3 linked regions of the Arabidopsis thaliana genome follow. The protein of the gene in region 1 interacts with the protein of each later gene in a pairwise test. Each region holds a gene or a part of one and is shown in the gene's direction. Other genes may lie near its edges.

Region 1 (4,143 bases):
AGGTGATGCTAATATATCTGCATATATAAAATTGCATAATTTAGAAAAATTATGGATTTATAGAATCGCAAAATCAAAAATCGAAATAAAAAGTTGAATACTAAACTCAGGCAAAAAAGATGAATTTGAATAAACTAAACAAAATTAAATAATTGATGTTTTGGTTTCATACCATATCAAATCTGAGAAAGAAACAAAAAGATAGAGATGAAAGTGATTTTCACATTAAGCTGTGGATTATGTTTACAACGAAATACATATAAATATTATATTTATTAGGCTAGCAAAACCTTAACTAAACCCAAACATGATGCAATTGATAATTTGTCTTTCTGACCCAATAAACTGGGTACATAAATTTTATATGTCAGTATGCTTCATGTTACAGTACTTTAATTATTTAACACTAGTAACGCAAAAAAGATTTTTTAATAAATGATCATTTAATCATTATCATTCTTCATTAAACATTATTTATTGTTTTCTAATAAAATATAATGATGGTTTAATTGTTAGTGTAAATTTATATGGTAAAACTAAAACCTGTAGGTAAGCCTCTTTTCAGTCTTTTGTTGACCAGAAACTTTGAACAATAGAGTTCTATTTTAACAAATACTAACAAAATACAGAAGAAGGGTAAAGTTTTAGGTTGAAACTTAAAAGGGTGCGATACGTGTGAACGCGTTGGTCAACAAATACTATCACGAGCTGTTCTCTTTCCCGCGGACAGATATTGATTTTTTCGTGTTCTATTTTTGGATTTTGTGGCTGGTGTAATAATAATATTAAAGCATATATACTAGTATAAAACTGGTAATTTTTCGTAGAGGATTGTTTTCTCAAAGCCCAAACAGTAGTTGCAAATTTGTAATAACCAGATTTTGAAGTAAAATAAAATGGTGAGGAAATTTTAGAATAATTTATTTATCAAAAAAAAACTTTAGAATATGTTACATATTTGGTAGTTATAGTATTGTATCAAATACACATATTAATCGAATTGTTTGATAAAATGGAAGTAAATTATTTTTGACTGAACTATGTAGCACATATTTATTTTATATGAATCTCAAAATCATTTATATAATTTATGAAAAAGTTAGTTTTTTTTCTATTCGATACGTTAACAATTAATTATGACCAATAAATTGTTTTAAGGCATTCAGCAGTCTAAAAATAAAGACTGAAAATGGCGTCATAATAAACGTAAATGCAGTAAATATTATTCCCTCTATTTTTGAATATTTGTAGTTTAAAATTTTTGCACACAAATTAAGAAAACATACAAATCTCATTTAATTTATCTCTTTCTTATAAAAATATTATTAATTACAATTAATCCAACCAATAAAAAAATATGATATAAAATATAATTGGTTAAAAACTATTAAACACATTTAATTTTGCATAGAAAAGTGAAAACAACACTTATAGTAAAAAAAATAAAAAATCTTTAAATTACACTTAATTAGAAATAGAAAGAATACAAAACGTACGGATGTTGTTAACCTAAACACGATTACTACCGAGACTAAAGATGTCTAAGTTTAATACTAAGAAAAGTAAAACAATTTTTCGAGCAGATATATGAATAGTGATTTTTTGGGTCAACACATAATCCACCCAACGTTGATTTTTGTTTGTCGTTTACAATCTCTAAAACGTTTATTTTCTAAGAAATATACGTGTGGGCTCATTTTAATGCCCTTCGTGCGTCTACCCGACGACTTTGTTTACTCGAAACTATATCACACACTACACCACATATTTCAACATCACACTGTATACACACATTTATATATACATGCAGACCGATTATTATAATAATATTTTCTCCGGTCCCTAAAACATATATATCATTCATTCCCACATGAGATATAATATTATGTAAAACATACTTTTGACTATGTTGCCAATAATCAAAAAGACATCTCTCTCTCTCTCTCTCACATCCTATTTTCCAAGAAGCTCACCAATGCTTTTGAATTCTCCCACATGTCTTTTGACAATTTTAGTATAAATACTCAAACCCCTTAGTCAGTCATTCTCATGTTCATCAACAGCATTTGATCTCAAGCTCATAGGAATTTGATCTCCACATTATATCTTGATCATCACCACAAGAAAAACATTTCAACTTCTTTTATCAGCAATCACAAATCAAAGAGATGGGAAGAGCTCCATGCTGTGAGAAGATGGGGTTGAAGAGAGGACCATGGACACCTGAAGAAGATCAAATCTTGGTCTCTTTTATCCTCAACCATGGACATAGTAACTGGCGAGCCCTCCCTAAGCAAGCTGGTATGTAAAAATTATAATATCAAATTTCTTAATTTTGATCAAATTTCTTACATTAATTATTGGTAATTATTATTTACAGGTCTTTTGAGATGTGGAAAAAGCTGTAGACTTAGGTGGATGAACTATTTAAAGCCTGATATTAAACGTGGCAATTTCACCAAAGAAGAGGAAGATGCTATCATCAGCTTACACCAAATACTTGGCAATAGGTATTTTACTTCACATATAAGTATATAACCGACACACAAGTTTTATTTTGTTTTCTTACTATATATAAATCACCAAAAGAAAGTAACTTTATACACACGTCTAGGTCGCACTACTATTCTTTTAACTACACAATGATCGGCTCTTTAATTACTTTTGTATTGATGTTCTTCGTTTTCCTTTTGGTATCATCTTTAGATGGTCAGCGATTGCAGCAAAACTGCCTGGAAGAACCGATAACGAGATCAAGAACGTATGGCACACTCACTTGAAGAAGAGACTCGAAGATTATCAACCAGCTAAACCTAAGACCAGCAACAAAAAGAAGGGTACTAAACCAAAATCTGAATCCGTAATAACGAGCTCGAACAGTACTAGAAGCGAATCGGAGCTAGCAGATTCATCAAACCCTTCTGGAGAAAGCTTATTTTCGACATCGCCTTCGACAAGTGAGGTTTCTTCGATGACACTCATAAGCCACGACGGCTATAGCAACGAGATTAATATGGATAACAAACCGGGAGATATCAGTACTATCGATCAAGAATGTGTTTCTTTCGAAACTTTTGGTGCGGATATCGATGAAAGCTTCTGGAAAGAGACACTGTATAGCCAAGATGAACACAACTACGTATCGAATGACCTAGAAGTGGCTGGTTTAGTTGAGATACAACAAGAGTTTCAAAACTTGGGCTCCGCTAATAATGAGATGATTTTTGACAGTGAGATGGACTTCTGGTTCGATGTATTGGCTAGAACCGGCGGGGAACAAGATCTCTTAGCCGGGCTCTAGTTAACATGTTTGAGGAGTAAAGTGAAATGGTGCAAATTAGTTAAGGCTAAGAAATTCAAAAGCTTTTGTTTACCGAGAAAAAAACACACTCTAACTCTTGATGTGATGTAGTTAGTGTATTAATTAGAGGCTGCGTTTTCAAAAAATTGAATTCATTTGTTTCTCCAAAATTGAGTAGTTTAGCTTGTACGAGTAATTAATAATCAATGACAAGTAATCAAAGAGTCTACGTATATTAATATTGCCTTGTTGATGAAATAATTATCCAACAAACATTGGATGCCACTATAACAACAACAGCAATTAAAATAATATAAGTACTAGATTAATTCACTGTTATAATCATTTTCTAATGAGGTTTTGAAAGTTCAACTATGGCGGAAAAGGTAAAGTTACGTAGTTTTATAATAAATAACTTGAGAAAAAGGAGCTTAATGATCATAAACATTTTTAATTAAAATCTCAAATCTCTAAACATTTGTAGTTTATGTGTTAACGACGTCTATGCGTCATCATCCAAATTTAAGCCCCATATTGATGACAAAAAATATTTAAATTATAATTATACAAAACATATAAAACTATTGATTACGTTTTTTTTGGTAAGGAAAACTATTGATTACTCTTAAACTAGATGTTGTCCTTTAAGATAATAGCCCACCAAAAACAAAATCGAGATAATAATAATCTAATTATTTTTAAAAATTTAGACACTGCTTTGTATTGTAATTTTTGAATATCTAATTCATAACATAATTAAGGTAGCTTAAAAGAAAAGAAAAGAAAAAATTGTGCCCTTTATTTGAGAAAGGTATAATTGTGTGAAGTTAAACGATGACGTT
Region 2 (4,773 bases), 2.7 Mb from region 1:
TTAGTAGTCAAAACTCAATAGTCAACCCATTTTTCCATAAAGGCATGAAGTTCATGAACATTGATGATCAACAATTGGGCTCATTTTCAGCGTGATTTTCATGGGCCAGTTATACTAGAGGATCAGTTCAGACCTTATCCATATTTGGATTATTTTTTCTTTTATTCCTCTTTTTATTTTGTTAAAATGATATCAATTTCTTACATATACTCCTTTTTTAGTTCACTAAAAAAATTAGTGAGTGGATAAAAATAATTTTATTTCTTGGTGAAAATTCTAGGAAGAGCATCATTGACACCACCACTATTCTCACTTGCTTTTCTTTATTTCCCTTGATATGACATTCAATTCACGAGTTGTTTTTTTGTTCCTTTTCTCCTGAGTCGGCTACTTTTTTAATCGGATGCTTTGCTTTGTACTCTTTTAATCACAGCCGTCACATTTGCTATATCTCTATTCACTTCTACGGCTTTGATTAAAGCCCAAATTTAAACCTTATCGTACGATCTCAAAATCTTGTGCAACTTCAACATGTGTCCACTGTCTAGTTTGTCTGTGCGGATCTAGTTAGTGCGGTTAAGTTAAACCGGAGAGGTTCAGGTTATGTTAACCATGGTTAAGGTTTTGTCTGACAGTGAGGGAAGAAAGTCACGGAGTTGGGTAAAACGGCGACAAGATATGACTAGAGACACACTCCTTCTTCAATTTCCTAAATTACCCTTCCTTACTTGACCGGAACTCTCACTCGAGATTTTTCTACGTCGGCTTTATCGTAATATCGGTGTCACACGTACGTGGGAGAGACATGTACATTCTTTTCCCCCTCCTGAAAAACCAAATAAAATAGCTTCAATCTTTGGTTGAAAAACTTGAAATATGTTCTTGATTTACGCTGCAAAATTATGTACATTTTTTAAGATCAAAGGACCAACTACAATTGTTTCTGCTAAAGTCTTTTCTTTTGTTATTTTTATCAAAATATGTTGATTTTGTAGATTTGAGAAAAGAAAATTTTTGATTAGGAAAAACAAACAAACAGTTGACTATTTACTTGGTTGGGGAAGCAAATTAAATTATACCATCGTAATCCACACGTACACATTGTTTTTAACTTTTGACAAAATAATTGTTTAGCTACCTAACAAATTGACATATTGTGTGGCAAATTTATAAATAAATAATTACATATATCTCACTGAGACGCCATGCAGATTCGTATGTTTATACAATGCCTCACCCATTTCTTGAATTCTCTCAATTGATCTTCCCATGATGTTCATTTATTATTTGCTTTATGTATATCTTTGTAGAATGGTAGTATTACTATTAAAGTATCAAATTACCATGACGACCTATAGAAAAATGTTTTTAGAAAAGCATAGGGATATGTGTCTTATGGACAGTGGATAAGAGAGTGGTCCTAAAAACAGACCATAAATTATGGGATCTTCCCTTAGTTCCTTTATTGTTATCATATTTTAATTACTCTTATTAGTATTTTTTTAATGGTCAAGTTGTTTATTGGAATTACGCATTTAATTATTTTTCTAATTCGTATACTTGTGAGAAACAGAACAGCACGCTTTGCTTCTTTTACTAGACAAACCCTTAATTAGCGATATTTGAGGCAGAAAAAAAGACAAGGTTGCGTGTGTTTTACTCCACAAAAGAACTCCTAAAACCAAAAACGTTAAAACCCACTTCTTTTTTTTCACAGTATTCTCTTTTCATGTCAAGAACAATTACTGTTTTTCTTGGTATGCAATCTGTAAATTTATTGTAGTTTTCATTTCTACTTTTGGGGTTTAGGAGTAAAAGTGGAGTCACTCTACTTTGCTTTACCTTTTTCTGAGTTTTTTTTTGTTCATACAAATCCAAATTTCCTTTTCTTTGTATTCCTATTTTTTCTCTTCTCGTCCCTTTCAGAATCTTTAGAGAGAGAGAACAACAAATTGAGAAAGAAAAAAAGGTAAGGCTGTGTGAGAGAGAACCCACCAAAGCGTGCACGAGAGAGAGAAAAAAAAAGCTTTGATTTTGTATAAAATCCCACCACTGCTCTCTTACCATACCTTCATTACACATCTCTCTTTCTCTCTCTCGCTCTCAGTTTTGTGGGATTGTTTCTTTAAAAGGGGTTCTTAGGGTTTAGTGAAGCTATAGATTTCAATTTCATACATAGTTAACGTATAGAAGGAATCTTGGGTTGATCAATGGAAGGTTGTCCAAGAAACAGAGAAATCGGTCCAAAACTTCTTGATTTGATTCCACAAGGAAGGAAATGGTACCAAGAAGACAAGAACAACACAGATCAGGAGAAGAAACTTGAGCTAAGGCTTGGACCACCCGGTGGTGATGAAGAAGATCATTCAGCAATCAAGAAGAAGAACACAGAGATAAGAAACATCAAGAAGGAAACAGAAGACAAATCTTTCCACTGTTTTAATGGCAATCACTTCTCTCCTTCCAACAAAACCACTTCTGTTCCTCACATCTCACAGAAAAGGTATAATCTCCTTTTTTTTCCTTCACTGTTATTTTTTCTTACTGCTTTGACAGAGGATATTCTCTTGAACATTAGGGACCCATCTTCTGCAATCTGTGTTTTTTTTTTTACCTTCACATGTTAAAAGTTTCAACATTTACTCTGTTTTGCTCTGTTTTTGTCGTTTGGTATTGACATATGTCTCTTGTTTCTTTTGATATCTGGTTCAAAGAACTGCTCCTGGTCCAGTGGTGGGTTGGCCTCCGGTTCGTTCGTTCAGAAAGAATCTAGCGAGCACAAGCTCTTCAAAGCTAGGTAACGAATCCTCTCATGGAGGTCAAATCAACAAGAGTGATGATGGTGAAAAACAAGTTGAAACCAAGAAGGAAGGAATGTTTGTCAAGATCAACATGGATGGTGTTCCTATTGGTCGTAAAGTTGATCTCAATGCTTACAACAGCTACGAACAGCTCTCTTTTGTCGTTGACAAACTCTTCAGAGGTCTACTCGCAGGTTAAATCTTAATCTCAAATTCTGTTTTTTAGTTCTTTAGGAGTGTTACTTGTGTTTACTGAGTATGATTTGTGTATGTTGTTGGTTTATAGCTCAAAGAGATATCTCTGATGGTCAAGGAGAAGAGAAACCTATCATTGGATTATTAGATGGGAAAGGAGAATTTACTTTAACCTATGAAGACAATGAAGGGGACAAGATGCTTGTTGGGGATGTTCCATGGCAGTAAGAATCTTTTCCCCTTTTGTTCTCTGAATCTGATTCAGTGTTTTGCAGAATTAGATTCTTGATCATATAACAACAAAAGTTCTCAGCTTTTAATCAATAGTAGTAGTAATTCAAATTGATAATTCTTTACCTAAAGAATAGAATTTTGCTTGGAGATTTGTTTATACCTCTTTTTTTGCATACTAACTGATCTTTAATCTTTGTTTTTAAACACAGAATGTTTGTTTCATCTGTGAAGAGACTGCGTGTGATTAAAAGCTCTGAGATTTCATCTGCCTTGACATGTAAGCTTCTGTTCTTATATGTTTAGATGATTTATTAGAGCTATATGATTAAAAGGGTTCCTCTGTATATTTGCAGTTGGATGCAGTAAGCAAGAGAAGATGATGCACTGAAGAGTCTTTTTAGAAACTTTTATTTCAGACAGAGAGTCTCAAAGCTTTATAAATGTACATCTGGTTTTTGTTATATATAAGAGTTAATCATTGGTTTTTTACTTTTTTTTTGGTCCAGAGAAACATTTGATCTGATCTGATATTCCCATGTCTTCAAGACACTAGACGATGAGATTACATAAGCAATCTGTGTTTATAAGCATTTTAATTAATTAAGGAGATAATTAGAACATACTGTAATAATTATCTCATGCATGTCTGCAAAACTCTTTTTGAAAAAAGAAGATGAAATTTTTATTCTCTGTAAAAGCTCTTTTAACTTTTGTTCCTTCCAACTTTGGCTATACCTTTAATCATGTAAAAAGCTGAGAATGAAAGGCCATTATTGTTGTTTTTGTTGTTGTCTTTTTTTTTCTTCTTGTTTTTACTATTTAACCTGAGTATGCATGTATATAAGAAGATAAGATTGGAAGTTGAAAACTCAAAAAAGACTTTTCAGAATGAGATCAGTCCATGTCGTGATAATTTTGGTGGCTATATCATCTCTTTTGTTCTTCTAGGTGCAGAATTTAGCAGCTTTTTATCCTGACTTTTTAAATCATACATACACATTGTAACTTATTGGACAGTGTCTTGGTGGATCGACTAAAACATCACTATAGATATGTTTAATTTAGCACATTGTTTTCGTGATAAATATATTCATACCACAAGCATCACTTGGCCGACTTGTATTCATCTTAAAAATTTTATTCGAAGTTGTCCTTCTCATTACCAGATGAGTGTTGTGGTTAAACAATATAACCATTGAAATTGATGCAGCCAAATAGTTTGATAATAACATTTTTTGGTAGCTAAATAATGGTATATGTTTTAACTTTTAACCAAACCAAAAAAGAAACATTTTCGAAACATATGTAAAGCGATAGCCGCAACATAATGAGTTGGAAAATTCCGTTGTTTCATTTGTTGCAAAATGTCGCACCAGTGCCGGCTCTAGGGGAGTGCTAGAGGAGCAAAAGCACAGGGTCCTCAATTTTTTTTTCAATTTTCTTTAAGGTTTTAGGGTCCAAAAATTACAGAAATTAAAAACCAATATTAACTAAAGTCAGTTTTTATAAATCAGCAAAAGGTCTTCAAAAAGTTTGAACCGGC
Region 3 (4,011 bases), 3.0 Mb from region 1:
CTACCTGAATTTCCAGTTGAACGGCGTTTTTCCAAATTGCAAGCATCATATATTATGCTCATCGTATCATTAGTGCATAAATAAACTATGGACCAATTTCATGGTGAAAAAGGGGCTTCGGATGAAATTTTTGATCAAATTATATTTGTTTATTGATAAAACAAACGTTTTTTTTAAAGGATGACAGTTGTGCGTTTGAGATGAAAACCAAACACTGCTCCCACTCAAAATTTGTAAAAATGGAATTTATAAATATTTGGTGCTACAAATGTCGTTTGGTAGCCTTTGGAAACATTAAAGGTAAACTAGAGATATGGGAGTATGGAACTTAATCTCTTTATGTGGTTGTATTTCATATAATTTCACGTGGCCCAACTTGTTTCTGTCAATCCATTGATCAAAGTTGGTAGACAAGAGTGAACCCACACACACTCACACACATACACACGGTCGATCTTTTTTTCTATTCTCGTGTCCCTACGTCCTCTAAACCCCATCATTATACTTCTTGTGTTTTATTGGTATGCTGAGCTAGAGATAGTTAACAACTACCCAACAATGCGGGTCTGGCTTAGTTTGAACCTATTCGAAACTAGTTATACTCCGCTTGAAGTCATTGGTTCGAGACTAACTTTGGAGATGAGTATCATAAACAGCTCTAACTTAAGATTACAATACATCCTCTTGTTAGTCTAAGTTGAGAGGTGTTGCCATTGACTATATATTTCTTTGGGAATTTGGTTTACCAGGATGTTGCAAAGAAGATTTAAATAGTTATAAATTAGTACAAATTCAATCCATATGATATGATATTCAAAAAACAAAAAAAAAAAAAAACTGATCTAAAAGTCGAACCAAATTCTAATTTGATTAGAGCATGTATATAATTGAATCCCTAAGTAAAATTCAACCCAATACTTGAGAAGGTAGTTATATTCTTATAAATTATGGATATGATTTGATTAAAACTCAAACCTGAACCCAAAACATACTAGAATATACGTTTTTACTTTGTAACTATTTGTCACATTCCAAAACTAAACTCGGTACTATATTTGATTCTGATCCATACAAATTTTGTATATCTGGTTTATATTCTCCATGTGAGATTAAAGCGGTGACCAATCAAAATCATTGCTGGAATATCTTACTATTAAGCTAAATGTTGTTAGTTATATACAAGCCAATCCAAAAAAACTGATGCAAAGAGAGATAAACGAACATATCCCAAAATGGTAGGATTTGATTTAATATTCCCATCCTCTTATTAGAAATGCAAACAAATAGACTATAGTTTTATTTATTTATTTTCACTATAAAATAACTAAATAACATGAACTTATTGAAGAAAAAGTATACTATAGTTGTGATTCTGTGATATACTAGTTAGAACAAGAATCTTTACAAAAAAAAAACACATGGGATGTTAGGAGAAGGAGATTCGGATTCCAATGATCCAACGGTCAGAGAAAAATCAGAAGAAAATTTCACAACCGTAGGATCTGTTCCCTTAACCACCTTGTAATGCCGGTCTTTATTAATTTTGAGAAAAAAATAAAAACAGCACCAAACTTATGTCTCTCATGTGACCGACCACCGCATCCTCAGTTGACCTGTCTCTGCCCCCACTTTGTCTCCCCACACAAACTGAATAACAAGAAGAAGAAGACTTTAGATATCAAATGACTCCACGTGTCGATATTGGATTGGTTTTCATTGGTTGTATCGTGTGGACCAACGAAGCAACATATAAAAAGCACGACGCGGTGCCATTACTACAATAAGAGAAGTGTAGGAGAAGAAAGTTCTCATTTCATAATTGTATCAAATTGTGAGAGGAAAAAAAGAAGTTCAAGAAATGGAGAAGGAAGGACTCGGGCTTGAGATAACGGAGCTGAGATTGGGGCTTCCGGGGAGAGATGTGGCAGAGAAGATGATGAAGAAGAGAGCTTTCACGGAGATGAATATGACGTCGTCGGGTAGTAATAGTGATCAATGTGAAAGCGGCGTCGTTTCATCTGGTGGTGACGCTGAGAAGGTTAATGATTCGCCGGCGGCGAAAAGCCAGGTGGTGGGGTGGCCACCGGTTTGTTCTTACCGGAAGAAAAACAGCTGTAAGGAAGCTTCGACCACGAAAGTGGGGTTAGGGTATGTGAAAGTGAGCATGGATGGTGTGCCTTATTTGAGGAAGATGGATCTTGGTTCGAGCCAAGGCTATGATGATCTAGCCTTTGCTCTTGATAAGCTCTTCGGTTTCCGTGGCATCGGTTAGTAACAATTATGTTCTCTTCCCATAAAAGTAGAGTGGTAATTAGATCATGTGGAAAACAACTAATTATATATAGTTTACAAGACGTCCGATTAAGAACTTAGAGTGTTGTAGTCTTGTAGACGTAATGGAGTAGTATAGTTTAGTGCTGTTCTTTCTTTTTATGTCTACAACCAAACCAACACCCCAATTTATGATACAATGACAACACTAATACAAATATAGTTAGAATTTTGGTTAGCAGTTGAACTGATTGTGGTAGCAATGTTATAGATTTTAATTTAAAGTGTTATGAAAGGACAAATATGTCGAGATTTTTATTAGTCATCTCAGGAAATTTATTTACTTGTTCTTAGAGACTTAAGACTAGTCCTAATTTAACTGGTTATTTTTCTCCAAACTGTTTTGAATTATCTGAAAATTATCTATCATAGAAAATTAGAGGTTTCGGTTACTACATATCCGTAATTTCTAAAAATCAGAATTTATGCACCACTTGTATAGTTGTATTGTTAATTAGACTTTTCTATATACCGAATTCGCCATATTATCAACACAATTTTAAATTTACATATATACATATTTGTGCAGGTGTGGCCTTGAAAGATGGTGACAACTGCGAATACGTTACCATATACGAAGACAAAGATGGAGACTGGATGCTCGCCGGTGATGTACCTTGGGGGTATGTTCTATCTTTTGACTTAAGATATCTCACTACAAAAAGAAAATGTATCACAAACTAAAGTAAATGAGTTTGGATATTTTGATTTGCAGGATGTTTCTAGAGTCATGCAAGAGGTTGAGAATAATGAAAAGATCGGATGCTACCGGGTTTGGGCTGCAGCCTAGAGGAGTAGACGAGTGATGATGACTTGAACAAGAAGCAAGGAGCTGGTTCATTAATTTAATCTTAAACTTGATCATCAAGATCCTTTAGAACATTTTTCCTATTCATGTTATATAAATATATATGTTATAGTATATTATTTTGCAACAAAATTTCATGTTATGGTTTTGCATAATTATCTTCAGAAAGACAGCTATATATATATACACTACTTGTTTCTTGAGTGTTGAGTTAAAACATTAATCTGTTTCAAAATTTATTGTTATTTCGGATCTATATATGTGTGTAGAAACATATGTAATAAGTATCCATTATTTCATCTTTTTAAAAAATAATAATTATTATTTGAATCTTTCATTGTTGATATGTTATGTATACCTGTGTTTTGGAAAAAATATGGATATTATAAGCAAATCTAAATAGATATTTATAAAAAAAGTCTACGTAAAACATTCGTTAGTTTTTACTTCTACTTCAGTAAGTGACATCACAAATCTAAATAGATGTTTTCATAAGTATATAAGTGTAAGATAAAAACAAAGAATTCATTCTTCCTTTTTTTTCTCTTAGAGTTATGCTTGTATAATTTATTAGTACTATAAGATTTTTACTAGTAAGTTTTTATTCCAAATATTCGTATACCTCCGAAGAAATTAGTTAATTCATAATCGTAATTTCACATTCAAAGTTAAGATTGCTTAATTTAAAGATTTAAGCTTATTCTTCATTTTTTTTTTTTTTTTTGTAATGATTCTTTTTATAGATATGCACATCTTGCTTTTGATAGCATAAGTACTATCAATTATAGAAAACACCGACATGTTCGGTATGTCAACCTAGTTTTTGTTTTTCTATATTGTTGTTCTGTACAATAAAATTAGTACTTGGATTT

Evidence for each region. Proteins that work in one complex are often made in the same cells at the same time.
Region 2: the proteins of MYB15 (region 1) and PAP1 interact in binary tests that used the Arabidopsis thaliana proteins (3 or more experiments, as listed by UniProt).
Region 3: the proteins of MYB15 (region 1) and IAA19 interact in binary tests that used the Arabidopsis thaliana proteins (3 or more experiments, as listed by UniProt).

The regions. Positions count from the first base shown.
Region 1 is NC_003074.8:8,307,324-8,311,466, forward strand, and holds MYB15 (myb domain protein 15), read left to right. Parts: upstream 1-1,885; 5' UTR 1,886-2,168; coding exon 2,169-2,301; exon of another isoform or gene 2,302-2,380; coding exon 2,381-2,510; intron 2,511-2,706; coding exon 2,707-3,301; 3' UTR 3,302-3,587; downstream 3,588-4,143. UniProt on the Arabidopsis thaliana protein: Transcription factor involved in cold-regulation of CBF genes and in the development of freezing tolerance. May be part of a complex network of transcription factors controlling the expression of CBF genes and other genes in response to cold stress.
Region 2 is NC_003074.8:5,611,646-5,616,418, reverse strand, and holds PAP1 (phytochrome-associated protein 1), read left to right. Parts: upstream 1-1,615; 5' UTR 1,616-2,210; coding exon 2,211-2,503; intron 2,504-2,714; coding exon 2,715-2,995; intron 2,996-3,087; coding exon 3,088-3,220; intron 3,221-3,439; coding exon 3,440-3,507; coding exon of another isoform or gene 3,508-3,533; exon of another isoform or gene 3,534-3,583; coding exon 3,584-3,618; 3' UTR 3,619-4,216; downstream 4,217-4,773. UniProt on the Arabidopsis thaliana protein: Aux/IAA proteins are short-lived transcriptional factors that function as repressors of early auxin response genes at low auxin concentrations.
Region 3 is NC_003074.8:5,262,242-5,266,252, forward strand, and holds IAA19 (indole-3-acetic acid inducible 19), read left to right. Parts: upstream 1-1,759; 5' UTR 1,760-1,858; coding exon 1,859-2,267; intron 2,268-2,860; coding exon 2,861-2,954; intron 2,955-3,046; coding exon 3,047-3,137; 3' UTR 3,138-3,454; downstream 3,455-4,011. UniProt on the Arabidopsis thaliana protein: Aux/IAA proteins are short-lived transcriptional factors that function as repressors of early auxin response genes at low auxin concentrations.